Linked DNA regions of Nothobranchius furzeri. The main gene of each other region encodes a partner of the protein of the gene in region 3 in a complex. Links are inferred from orthologs where the notes say so. Each region holds a gene or a part of one and is shown on either strand. Other genes may lie near its edges.

Region 1 (4,020 bases), on a different chromosome or scaffold from region 3:
TCCTGAGGCGACACGTTAGCTTGGACCGGATAAGAGCATCCCTATTTAAAACTGCATTTGTTTTCTAGAAACCCCTAAGAACAAACCAGAACACAGAGATACCAGAATAAGGATCGTAGAGACAAAACATGTGTTTATAGCGCTGAACCTGAGTTTGGAGCAGCGAAGGATCCTGGTGAGCGAGACACAGTTTCCCTCCATCAGCCCTTTTCCCACAGTGGGAATGGACCCCTTCCTGCAGGCAGCGTACAGCGAGCAGGCCAGCCAGTGGACCACATCCCCCTGCAGACAAACAGCAAATCACTTTAATTGTCTTCACTCAGCATAAACAGCAAACTGGGAAACTAATACTCCACTATTTCCAGTACACAGAGCGACTCAGCAGATACAAGAATAGCTGCAGAAACAGCAAACAGAACTACACGGAACATGACTGAAAACCTATGTGCACATTTTAATTACTATGTTTGATTTTTGCACGCAAAATTCTGCCATCTTTAATTAATGAGACAGCTGAATGGTCCAATTATTTATAATTCAGAAGAGTTTAACGACTAGCATTTTATCATCTATTGGAGATATGTTTTTATAATACAGACAGACTATTAGTATTTTTGAAGGTCAATTTCTCAAACAAATATTTTTCATTAATAAATCAGAGAAGCAACCATTTCTGAATGACAGATAAACTCAAAGATAAACGGAGCATCTGTTTGGTTAGAGGCCTTATGTTTAAAAGCATAACTGAATCATTTGAGGTTAATTCAGTTTCCCCCTCTCCCCAGGTCAAGAGTCTGGGTGTCATCCTAGACAGCACACTATCCTTCCAATCTCATATCAATAGCATCACACGGTCAGCTTATTTCCATCTTCGTAACATTAATCGTCTTCGCCCCTCCCTTGATGTCCACTCTACTTCTATTCTTGTCCATAGTCTGGTTACATCGCGTATCGATTATTGCAACTCTCTTCTCTCAGGCCTCCCTCAGAAAATCCTCCGTAAGCTCCAGTTGGTCCAGAACGCAGCAGCACGCATCGTCACTAAAACTCCCATCTCTCATCACATCACCCCCATCCTCAAACAACTCCATTGGCTACCAGTGCACACCAGGATTAACTACAAGATTCTCCTTCTCACCTTCAAGGCCATCCAAAACCTCGCCCCTCACTACCTCACAGATCTCGTTCACATCGTCACCTCGTCCCGTTCCCTCAGGTCCTCCTCCTCCATTCATCTCTCTGTGCCCTCCTTCCGTATCAGCACCATGGGGAGTAGAGCCTTCAGCGGCACCACTCCCAAACTCTGGAACTCCCTTCCCCCTCTCATCAAGAACATTAACTCATTCACAGAATTCAAAAAACAACTCAAAACCCACCTCTTCATTACCACATATCAACTTTGAATTTTAGAGAGCCTTGTTTGTTGATGTTTACGTATGTTTACTTATTGAATGATTTGTGTTTTTATTCTGTACAGTGTCCTTGAGTGACCAGAAAGGCGCTTTTAAATAAAATGCATTATTATTAATAGGTAACGATGTAAACAAAGCCAACTAGCATCATTAGCTGTAGGAGGTTAAATTGTCAGGTACAAACTAATCTTTCATAATCTGTACCTAGATTAGGATTAGAATCGTTTTGAATAAAATAACCTTGTAACACCTCTCTGTGTGAACGTTTCTTTCCGTGAATCACCTTTGACCCCTGAGGATATAATCAGTGTTTACACCCATCCCTCAGACAGAAGTCTTCTAACAAACACTGCACAACTTTTGTTGATGTCCCGTCATTTTAGACGATGCTTCAAACTGACTGCACTACAGTTGTCTATGTTCCTGTCACACGGATTCAAAGGCAAAAACAAACAAACAAACAATTCTGATACTAATCAGGGTGAACAACAAAAATCAGGATTATATAGTGATTTCTGATACGATGTTAAAAGGAAACTGCTTTTAATTAAGATGTCAATAGTATGTATGAACAATAAAACTGATATTAATTGAAAAAGAACATCTGCTGCTTTGTTATCAGACTAAAGAAATCTTAAACATTGTTATTATTGGTCAGACCTTAAATAAAGCCGATCCATTTAAATAAAACGGATTTATTATTCACTCAGATGTCACTACCATGTTCTACCCATGGTTTTACCACAAATAAAAGACAGTCATAGTTGTTTTACGGTAAAATATATTTTACCTGGAAAAAATATTTCAATTTGATTATTTTTTATTATTCTTATGTAATTTCAGGAGGATTTTAATATTTGTTAATAATCAGTCAGTCATAAACTAAAAATAATTGTTTTGTTTTGTCCGGTTTTGTCTGACGTTTGCAAATGCCGTCGATCGACTGCTCGACAATATGTTTCTGTTCCTGGATGGAAGATTAAAAACAGGTCAGTTGTTGAATCCCTTTAATCTCAGTGTGTGTCAGCACTGAAATCCAGTTCTATGTAGGATGAAAGTTGTGGCTGATTAATTCGACAGTAACTTGTTATTAAAGAACATTATTCACCTCCAGAGTGTATGTGTTCCATATGGCTGTGAAGTTGTCCATAGCTTCAGTAGCGGTCTGTTCGTCCATGTTCAGCTCCTGACACAATGTCTCCAAACTCCTTCGGACTGAACTTTCCTCCATCCTGCCCGACTCGGAGTCCGACGACTCGTCACCCCGCATTCGTTCCAATGTACAGCTACAGCATCAAGTTTTAAACAACCCCCAGAGCCAGACGTTAACCAGCAAAACGCTGCCCTCTCCCAAACACCAACAAACAGGCTCCACGAGCATCCCACTTCCGCCTACAGTTCCCACAATGCAGTGCGTTGGCGCGAAAACCCTGCTGCTCTGACCAATCAAAGTCAAGACATGCGAAGCCCTCTCGCCCTCTTGCCCTACCCCTCTCGGTCTCCTTCAGGAGGTCGCTCCTAATTAAAACCACCTTTTTATGGAGTTACAGCTGTCTGAAATAATTAACTTTAAAAAGTAAAATTACAAAATATGCCGAGAAGTCGAGAAAAGAAGTATGCAATAACAATTTGGTAGCAATTCGTTAACTAACGTGCAGAGGGCAGTGTTCTGTTATTATAGAATTCCTGCTCATCTAATCAAAGGTTTAAAAAAGTGATTTTTTTTTTACAAAATACAATCCACAAAATCGGATTGAGTCTTAGAATAAAACGAATGTTACAAGGTGACCTTTTAAGTGTTCTTATTCCTATTGTTGTCTACAAAGGGAATGAGTTAACATATTATGTAGTATACCCTATAAAATACAATTTTTAGAACGATGCAGACTGCAGAGCCTGCCAAGAATTATTGTCTTTAATACTCTAAAATGTTAATGAAATAGCTGTTTAATAAAAAAAAAACAGCAATGCTCAAAACACTGTTAAAAAAACTTTGTTAAAAACACCAACAACATATCTATTTTTCTCTCCATGTCCAATTTGCAGGTTGGGGGCTATTTGTAGCTCTTGAAGTGCTTTTGTTTGGCCCCCACTTGCATTTCTAGAATCATGTGGCTCCAGATCCACCGGTTGCAAAACCTCTAAAAACCCATAAATATAACACAAGCTATCTTAATTTAAAGTAAAATAATTATTTATATAAGACATGTTTGGTTGTTTTATAGTAAATGGAACATTGTCCATTTAAAAGAATGAATGAACACAAACTCAAAACATTTTTGCTCAGATTCAGTTTATTGATGAATTAAGAGACAATAAAGTCAAACCCATAACCACATCTTTTTAAAAATATAGTGTAATAACAGCATAAAGGATGTTCACAGCAACACCACCAAATTTGTGATAGTCTTCATTATAAAAACAAACCTCTAACCGATGGTCTAAAGTAGCATTCTGCTAAACCCAACATACGTAGAAAGTTACCAGACTTGATTATTACAAGACTAAACACACCCTTAAAACCAGCTTTAAACTATTTTATTTCTAACTTCAAATGATTTATTGTTTAAATATTACAGTTAGTTTAAAGAGAAAGTCACCCCCAAAT
Region 2 (4,222 bases), on a different chromosome or scaffold from region 3:
GTGTTGCTTTAATATCGATTTCCTCTGCTACAAAGACGACATCCAGTTCTACCTTTCCATGCTCCCCTCTGATTTTCTTCCTCATGAAATGGGCATCATCGACCCGTTTCTACTCTTCAATCATTTTTAAAAGCTCATCTTTTAAAAAATCCATTTTGTGTCCAGCTGCATTTTTGTCCCTGCTTTTATTACGTTTTTTTTACCTTTGCTATTTCCCCTTTTTCTTTTATTAAAAAGGAACCTCGAATTGTATTATTATTATTATTATTATTATTATTATTAAAGTGGTTGTTGTCATTATTTTTATTTTAACCAACAGCCAAATGCACCTTGCCCTAAATAAATTATAAAAGAAAGCAATGACAGCCTAACTTATATGCTAGTGCGTCCTACTGCTTACCCATAGACTGAATAGTGGGCGTGGTTGACACATTTTGATTATTTGGGTCAGGAACTCCAGACTGGCCATCAAGCAGAGACTGAACAGCCAACACAGTCTGGTTGTCCATGCCTAGAGAGAGTGAAACAACAGAGGGGGGAGGAAACAATGCACGTGTTTACATTTAAAAGCTCTGCTTGATAATCTAGTAGCACAATAATAATCAACTACCTATTAAACATACGTAGTGTAATTAATCACCGTTATTGTTTACATGTACATACCAACCTAGCAGGGTGGTTTGATTTTTGTAACATTAGTAAACACCTATGCATAGTTTCACAATTATTTCCACATTTTAAAATGGCTCTAAACATGTTTATCTATAAAAAATATTTTCTGACATGTAAACATGTTGGTAGCTATGTAGTTAACAAAAATATTGCTACCTTCAAGCACCTCGAATATTGCCTGCGCCATCTTGCAGATTTCTGAGAGATAGGCGCTCGATTAGCAAGGGCTGCTACCTAAAGGACATTTCTATTCTGTAAATTCGACGAGATTTTTACGAATAATTCGTGTTTGAAAAAATATACTGTTCAATAGAGAGCTGCATAAACTGTTTATAATATGATGTGGACATTCCTGACAGTCTTAAAACAAAATAGCTAAAACATCAAATGTTTTAAATAGCATGCAAAATAAAATACAAGTCACGTAAGGACTTTAATTTGTAAGTTCGGTCACGGCTTTTCAATAACTAATATATGTTATTAAATGTTTAATATGTGACATCAGATCAATGTATCATTGATATGTTGATTTTGATCTAAGCGAAATGATTGTAAACGCTAGTTAGTTGAGGTTCTTCCGTGGAACCTGAACGCATCTTCATATCGACTAGTCTGTGCTCGTCTACATGACGGACACTCATTTACACCAATCAGAAAGCTCCGGTTTCTCTTCGAAGAATGTGCATCTTTTTGGCCAATGGCGAGCGTCAGATTTCCCCACGTGCAACTTTCGCGGCAAAATGGATTTCGCGCGAAAACCGACCAACGCTTGTTTAGATGTAGATCAGCTGGGACAATAACAACAATAACGGCTGATATCGGGCTCGGGTGGACACTTTCATGAGAGAACCGCAGCCCTGGTGAGCAGCTGAAAGTGCATCGGCGGCGGTTTTAAAGCATGCGTTTGTACTTTGACCGTTTTGTTTCGTTTTTTTAATTCCAGTTTTGTCTGACTGCTTCCTGCAGTGCCCCAACAAAACGAGGGGACTGAAGAACTGCGGCTAATGACTAAAGCTAACATGCTAATCTGCCCTACATTTCCACACTCAACATAGTAACTGTTATAAGGTCTTTGTTAGCCAGACGTTTTCATAAATACCCAATCAATGATGCTTTTGAGTCACGGCGATGCCGTTCGACTTCTCTGTATTTTGCTTTGTTAGCTAACTTTGAAAAGCTGATTTAAAGTTTCCGTAGCTTAACCGTTGTCCCAGTTTCGGATGTTTGGTGATTGTGGTAGTTTTACGGCTGGGAACGGCTCGTTCCGCGCCTCCTTCGAGAACTATTCCGAGGCTTTGTTGTTGAGCCATGAGTTAGCCTGCTAGCCGTGTCGGTAGCTGTGTGTTCAGGCCGCGGCCGAACTCTGCTGACAGGAGGCACGAAAACAAAAGATTTGCTCGCTCCGTCGCTGGCGTCCTTATGTTTAGCGTTTATTCAGACCCGCGGCAGGGTCTCGCGACCCTGTTTTAGGTGCTAATCCCGCGTTAGACCCTCATGGCGTAGAGATATTGTGCAATTTAGCAATGATCTGTCATTTTCCTGTTTGGCAGAACATCCAGTTTCTCCGTTCGGTCTGAAGTTGATTTGGCAAGTTCTGTTTATTTATCACTCTTTGAGTTAAACTGTAATAAATGTTTGTCTGTGAGGAAAACAACTTGTTCCAATTTGGGACGTTTGAGCATTTTTTACTCCTGCTCCACGAATTTACAGAGAACTACAAATGTCAGCAGGTGCTGATGTGCTTTTAGAGTACACCATCTTAGCCTGTGACCCCTCCCAGCACACCCAAAGACTAGTGAAGGAGCACTTGGTGACCCAGTGCAATGTCAGAGACTCTGATAACAGGGCAGACATCGGAGGATCTGTTGGTTGACTTTGAGACCTTGCTGAACTCTGGGAGTATAAAACTGGGCGAGGACCATCAGGTAGTCATCATCACCAGCCCCAGCAATGAGGGACTCCACCCTGTTGCAGCCCCGACCAGCACGGGGGAAATCCTGCTGTTCGCCACGCCACAGGGGCCCGCTGACGTGGGGGCCCAGGACAAGAGGCGGCCAGCTCTGGGAAGACCTCCGGTGAGGAGAGTGGGAGTGAGATGAGGTTAAATGAGAAGTTTCATGTCATATTTTGCTTTTTAAGCATTTTCTTCAAGGTGCAACAATAATTTTACTGTGAAATAATCCCATAACAGTCTAACATCTGAGTGGTATTGGAAGAACGGTTACGTTAAAAACAGATTTCCTTCTCAGCCGGCTATGGGGTCGTCAGGTTTCCTAGTTTAACTTAAAAACCAAAGAGGAAGGTAGTCTTTGTTTACAATCTGTCCCAATTCAGTACTTCCTGGTTCCAGAGCCAATCATACGTGCCCGCAGGTTTGCCAAGTCTGCACCGACATTTGTAATTTGACATCGGCCGGCATGATGCTGCGGCGTTGTGGAACAAAATGGAAGTCAGTAAAAAGAGCGACGTTATTTCATGTAACCCCGAAGAAGCCACGGCCTCTTTTTGTTGTGTTCTTAATGCAGAGGCTAACATTGAGCTAACAATGCTAACGGTGGATTACAAGCAAACTTCGATACTACAGCAAAATATATTTATCTACTCGTCAAATTACCGCGTATGACTCGTCTTTGCTCATCATCTAGAATCTTCTGGTGCCGTGCCGTAACTGGCAACAGTGGCTCAGAACAGACTCGTTTGTTTTGATTCACGGACTGCAGTACCCAGATTTGACCACAGGATGTCGTTCTGACTCCGTGCATCTTTAGGTAACACACAAATATAACGTATTCCATGCTTCCATCTTCAGGTAAAGAGGAAGTTGGACCTGGATAGTGACCATCAGTACATCAGCACCACCCAACCTCCCACGGGTCAAGCTCCGCCTTCTACGCCTGCTCCTCCCAGAGGTATGCACCCACAAACGCACTTTTGAGTTTTAGTATAGTGGATTTTTCAAATTTAAGGAACTGTGCTTTTCTTTAGAATGAAAGTAAAGTACAGCGACGACGAGCCTTAAAGGGACTTTACGGACTTGTGAATTTTTATGCTCATGATTGCCCCCTCAGGCCAAAAACGTAACAGCAGCTTTAATAGTAGGCTCGTGCACGAGGCGCGCATGCTGTACGTGCACACTCCTTAACGAAAGTAACAGCTGAGACAGTCCCGTGTGTGTGTGTGTGTGTGTGTGTGTGTGTGTGTGTGTGTGTAGCCCGGAGGACAGAGGACAGGAGAACGCGCAGCTAATTAATTAAATAATTTGGTTCTGTACCTTTCTCTTCAGCACAGCCGACAAAGGTTTAAGATGGGTCAGTCCTCCTGCATGCTCAGATCATTCCCTTCCCTTGCTTGAAAAATTGTTCCAAAATGAAACGTTTTTGGTTTTCTGTGACTTCAAATGCCGTTCGGCGAGTCTCAAATAAAAATTTGGGCATCTTACTGTAAAAAATATACCATTAATGTAAAAAGTAAACTCTAATTATACTATGTTCACATCCAGAATCAAACCCAGATCTTCTGCACGAGAGTCAGACGTCTTACTAGGTGAGCT
Region 3 (4,037 bases):
CAAAAACAAAGTCAAAAGATGGTTCAGTTATACCTTTGCTAGGGCTCAGATTCTGATCGATGAAAACCTTCAGCTCTCCATTTGTTTCAATCAAACCAGCCTGTAAAAGACAAAACTCATTATGCTGCAAATATAGAATATTAAAAATAATATAAGATAGTAGTGATGCAATAATGGATGCTTAAGTGTGCATATCTCCTTAAATTACACCAAATGGGTAATTGGATCATTTTGCAATTTGGGTTTATTGTCAAACATTAATGATGGTTTAGAATAATAGGTATGCTAAAACAACAAGAACCATCTCATCTGGCTACAAGATATAATGTGCATATGGATGAAAATATTGAGGGAAATTACTCACATCTTTAGCCATGATCCCAAAGGACCTGAAGGAGTTTAGTTCAGATTAAAAAATTGTTCCTTCTGTCACTCAAGTGTTCAGACCCCTGCAGAAGAAATGAAAGCTGTGAGCAAAAGTTTCAAGCTTCACTTATTTATAACATTTTCCTATAAATCCCCACGGCACAGATGGATTTGAATGAGCTTTTGCACTCATTTATGAACCCAGGCCCATTTCAATGGTTGGCTATGAGCACAGCACACTACACTAAGCTAATTCCATCATCATGTTTACTCCACTTTTTCCTCAGTTAGCAAAACAAACCTGGCGGAAATTACAGCTAATTGTACAAACCGCTGCGTCATTAGCCTTTAGATGTAAACACAAAAAAGCACAGTCAACCCTCACTTGATGCCCACAACTTTTACCAAGCTATGTGTGCACAAGGCCTACTTCAGGTACCGATCACGTCCGGAGGAGAGGCATCGTCCAACTTCTGCTACAGGTCACGAAAACGTGCCAACTTTGACGAAACTGTTGATTTTTCTCCACGGAGATTAAAATATAGTTACAGATAGTAAATCAGTCCACCACAGAAGCAGGTTTCACACCACATGTCAGTAATAATGAACAATCTTTTGTTGACTACAGCCGGCTAACCGTTACTGCTAACAGCCTGCTGCTCCTTAGCTTGCTAGTTAGCTTATGCACGTTTTCACACGATTGGCAGAAAATTCAGAGATTTCTGGTCCGAGCTGCAGATTATAGCCTTCTTTAAGTAAGAACTGATATTGGAAAAAAGCACTGCGCGTTTTGCACGATTAGAGGGGTTTAAATTGCGAATCCGTGCACTTACGAGTGCACTCTCTTGTCTCTTCGACGGCTGTTGTTGTTGGCATTAGAGAATGGAGGAAGAGGAGGTCTAAATCCCATCCAAACAGGAAACAAACTCAGCAATCCTAATGTACTTTTAAAACTATTTTATTCATAAATCAAAGTTATTCCTTTAAAGAACTTAAGCATATGATTAAAGAGTTGTTTTTCCTCAGGTCAGTTTTTTGTCGCTATGTCAAAAACTGATACCAGGATTTGCCTGTTGGTCGAGTCTGGCAGCTGACTAACCATTAAACATCATTCATCTCATCAGAGAAACTGATCACAAAAGCAAGCAAAATGAGCTGTACAACATTTTTGTCATGAATATAATGCACTAACCAGTTTTCAAGTTAAATTAAACCTAACATTTTAAAACTGCATATTATGGTAAATAAACAACAGTATGTTAACAGGTACTACATTTCAATTTAATAAACATACAACATAATGTGTGGATCAAGCCCATAGATTTGATCTACATTTCTTCTAAAAGGAGTTCATATTAAAGTAATTAAGTCAAAGAAGTGAATAAAAAACTATATTGACACCATTAATTCAGGGACCTGGGCCTGCAAAAGGAATCAGTTGAAATAGCAAATTTAATATATAATGTTAATCGGAAATAAACAAGTTATACAAATGTAAAGTAATTTTATATTTTGGGATTCCGCAATTATCTGCTACAACTGATCACATTCTCTTAAACGTTCTCAGTAGTTTTGATCTCATTCATGGGCCTCTTGGTCACAACAACCTAGTAAATCAGAACAAAACAAATCTAATTAATCGATATTTTAGCTTTTTGTGCAAAAAGTACACTTTTGAAAAAGTTAAAAACTTCATTGAAATGTTTCAAGCCAATTAATCACGCTTTAAATTTTTATTTAAATGAATATGTGGCTTAAACAAATAAAATTTGTTTATTTTAATTCGTTACAGTAAAAGAAAGTGAAAGCTCTTTCTACATTCAGATGAGTTACATATTTCAAACTTCATGTCTGCGGACTATTTAAACAAGTCCTGTTGCATATTCTGTTTAGTAAGTTATAACCGTGGTAATAGAAACCATGACAAGATCGTTAAGTAGATCGATGATCAACACTTCGCTAGTTAGCAACTGGTTATCAAAGCTACGAGCTAACTCGATATCAATGAGAAATCGCAACCTCCAGCGCTTTGTTAGCCCACTAGCTAGCCAGCAAGCTAACTACCAGCTGTCATCGAGAAAGTTTACCATTGTTAGCTTCGTGTGATATCAACACTTTTTCATGTCGACCAAGACATAAAGGCCGTTTAAACACTTGTATATGAGCTCTGGTCTGCGCCGGGTGGGAAGCCACCCTACAGTGGATGCATCTTACCAGAGCACTTCACGTTAGCACACCGTCAGCTAGCCTTTCCACGGCTCTCTGCTAGCCTGTCGCTTTCAGCAGTGCCTCTCACAATCTGATCTTGGCGGCGTCTCGCTACAGCGGCGTCTGATTGGACAACACTGGTGTGACGTAACCATAGCAGTGACGTGAGTCGTGCCCACAACCTACTTCTCCTGGGATTGGTGGAGAGCAGGCAGCTGCAGGGATGCATTTACCGCCATCTGTTGCGCAGGAGTAGGAGGAGGATTTTTCATTAGTCGCTATTATATCTACCAGGAATAGTTTTTAGGCCTGTCACTTTTATTTCCTCTTTAATTCGATTGAAAAAAATACCACACACCACACTGAATGATGCCAAATTTCAGCTGATATATCTGAATAGAATAGAATAGAATAGAATAGAATGGAATAGAATAGAATAGAACAATCCCACAGTAGGGAAATTCACTTGTTACAGCAGCACCAACACTTAAGAGAACAATTTGATTTAAAAAAATAACAAATACATTTGCATACAATGTATACAATTGGAAGGCTGCCTTTCCGTGTCTTGGCCCATCACTTGGTCAGATTATCAATGGGAGCCTCTGCACAGGTGTGGTCCCAGCTGCTTTGAAAGCAGCAGTTATTCGGCCGACCCTGAAGAAACCTTATGCTGATGTCTATGTGATAGAAAATTACAGGCCTATCTCTACCCTGCCTTTCACATCAAAACTGCTTGAGAAAGTCGTTTATCAGCAGCTGGTCTCACATTTAGCTGACGCTGATCTGTTTGAGGTTTTCCAATCAGGGTTCAGGTCTGGCCATAGCACAGAGTCGGCTCTACTGAGGGTCCTAAATGACATCTATCTATCACTAGATCAGGGTACATCTGTGGTGCTTCTGTTGTTAGACCTGACGGCAGCCTTCGACACAGTTGACCACGCGATTCTACTAGATCGCTTGGAACGATGGGTTGGGATCAAAGGGTCTGCTCTGGATTGGTTTGGATCTCCACAACAGAACATTCTGCGTTAAACTGGGTGATGTTTTTTCTTCTTGGGAGGGGCTCCGCTGGGGGGTCCCGCAGGGATCGATCCTTGGTCCTCTTTTGTTTGCCATTTATCTGCTTCCTCTGGGGTCAATCTTTCGTAAACATGGCCTATCATTCCATCTCTATGCTGACGATTGCCAGATTGATGCTCCATTGTGTCAGGAGAAAGGTCACTATATCCAGTCCTTTGTGTCCTGCATTAACGAGGTGGAGTCTTGGCTAATGGCCAACGTTCTGCATCTGAATGAGGGAAAGACAGAGCTCATTGTTTTTCACCCCAACAGCAGGAATGTGGATCGTCATGTTGATCTTGGCCCTCTTTCTCCCTACTCAAAACCAGTTGTCACCAGTTTGGGGGTGAAAATTGATGCTGGACTTAAATTTGATGCACACATCAACTCTGTGATCCGGT

The links. The genes of interacting proteins can lie anywhere in the genome.
Region 1: the proteins of tfdp1a (region 3) and rbl1 are in contact, whole or in part, in a crystal structure (PDB 5TUV), measured with the Homo sapiens proteins. The link is inferred for Nothobranchius furzeri from reciprocal best matches to the Homo sapiens genes TFDP1 and RBL1. Residues at the interface, in NP_009042.1 of Homo sapiens: Pro260, Phe261, Ile262, Thr290, Phe291, Glu292, Ile293, His294, Asp295, Ile297, Glu298; in NP_002886.2 of Homo sapiens: Tyr1004, Phe1006, Asn1007, Ser1011, Leu1014, Ile1017, Asn1018, Ile1021.
Region 2: the proteins of tfdp1a (region 3) and e2f1 are in contact, whole or in part, in a crystal structure (PDB 2AZE), measured with the Homo sapiens proteins. The link is inferred for Nothobranchius furzeri from reciprocal best matches to the Homo sapiens genes TFDP1 and E2F1. Residues at the interface, in NP_009042.1 of Homo sapiens: Glu201, Cys202, Leu205, Glu206, Glu208, Arg209, Arg212, Leu213, Arg215, Ile216, Lys219, Gln220, Gln222, Leu223, Leu226, Ile227, Gln229, Gln230, Phe233, Lys234, Leu236, Val237, Arg239, Asn240, Arg241, Glu244, Pro251, Ser255, Val256, Ile257; in NP_005216.1 of Homo sapiens: Arg202, Leu203, Leu206, Thr207, Asp209, Leu210, Leu213, Gln214, Ser216, Glu217, Leu220, Asp221, Leu223, Met224, Ile226, Cys227, Thr228, Gln230, Leu231, Leu234, Asp239, Ser240, Gln241, Arg242, Leu243, Ala244, Tyr245, Val246, Thr247, Cys248.

The regions. Positions count from the first base shown.
Region 1 is NC_091743.1:73,535,665-73,539,684, forward strand, and holds the start of rbl1 (retinoblastoma-like protein 1), read right to left. Parts: upstream 2,806-4,020; 5' UTR 2,683-2,805; coding exon 2,521-2,682; intron 283-2,520; coding exon 149-282; intron 1-148. UniProt on the Homo sapiens protein: Key regulator of entry into cell division. Directly involved in heterochromatin formation by maintaining overall chromatin structure and, in particular, that of constitutive heterochromatin by stabilizing histone methylation.
Region 2 is NC_091755.1:51,396,389-51,400,610, forward strand, and holds the start of e2f1 (transcription factor E2F1), read left to right. Parts: upstream 1-1,417; 5' UTR 1,418-1,532; intron 1,533-1,615; 5' UTR 1,616-2,495; coding exon 2,496-2,747; intron 2,748-3,481; coding exon 3,482-3,581; intron 3,582-4,222. Other genes in the region: znf341 (zinc finger protein 341), read right to left, coding at 401-511, 829-859. UniProt on the Homo sapiens protein: Transcription activator that binds DNA cooperatively with DP proteins through the E2 recognition site, 5'-TTTC[CG]CGC-3' found in the promoter region of a number of genes whose products are involved in cell cycle regulation or in DNA replication.
Region 3 is NC_091754.1:25,779,609-25,783,645, reverse strand, and holds the start of tfdp1a (transcription factor Dp-1), read right to left. Parts: upstream 2,809-4,037; 5' UTR 2,581-2,808; intron 1,325-2,580; exon of another isoform or gene 1,200-1,324; intron 919-1,199; exon of another isoform or gene 772-918; intron 450-771; 5' UTR 377-449; coding exon 365-376; intron 101-364; coding exon 34-100; intron 1-33. UniProt on the Homo sapiens protein: Can stimulate E2F-dependent transcription.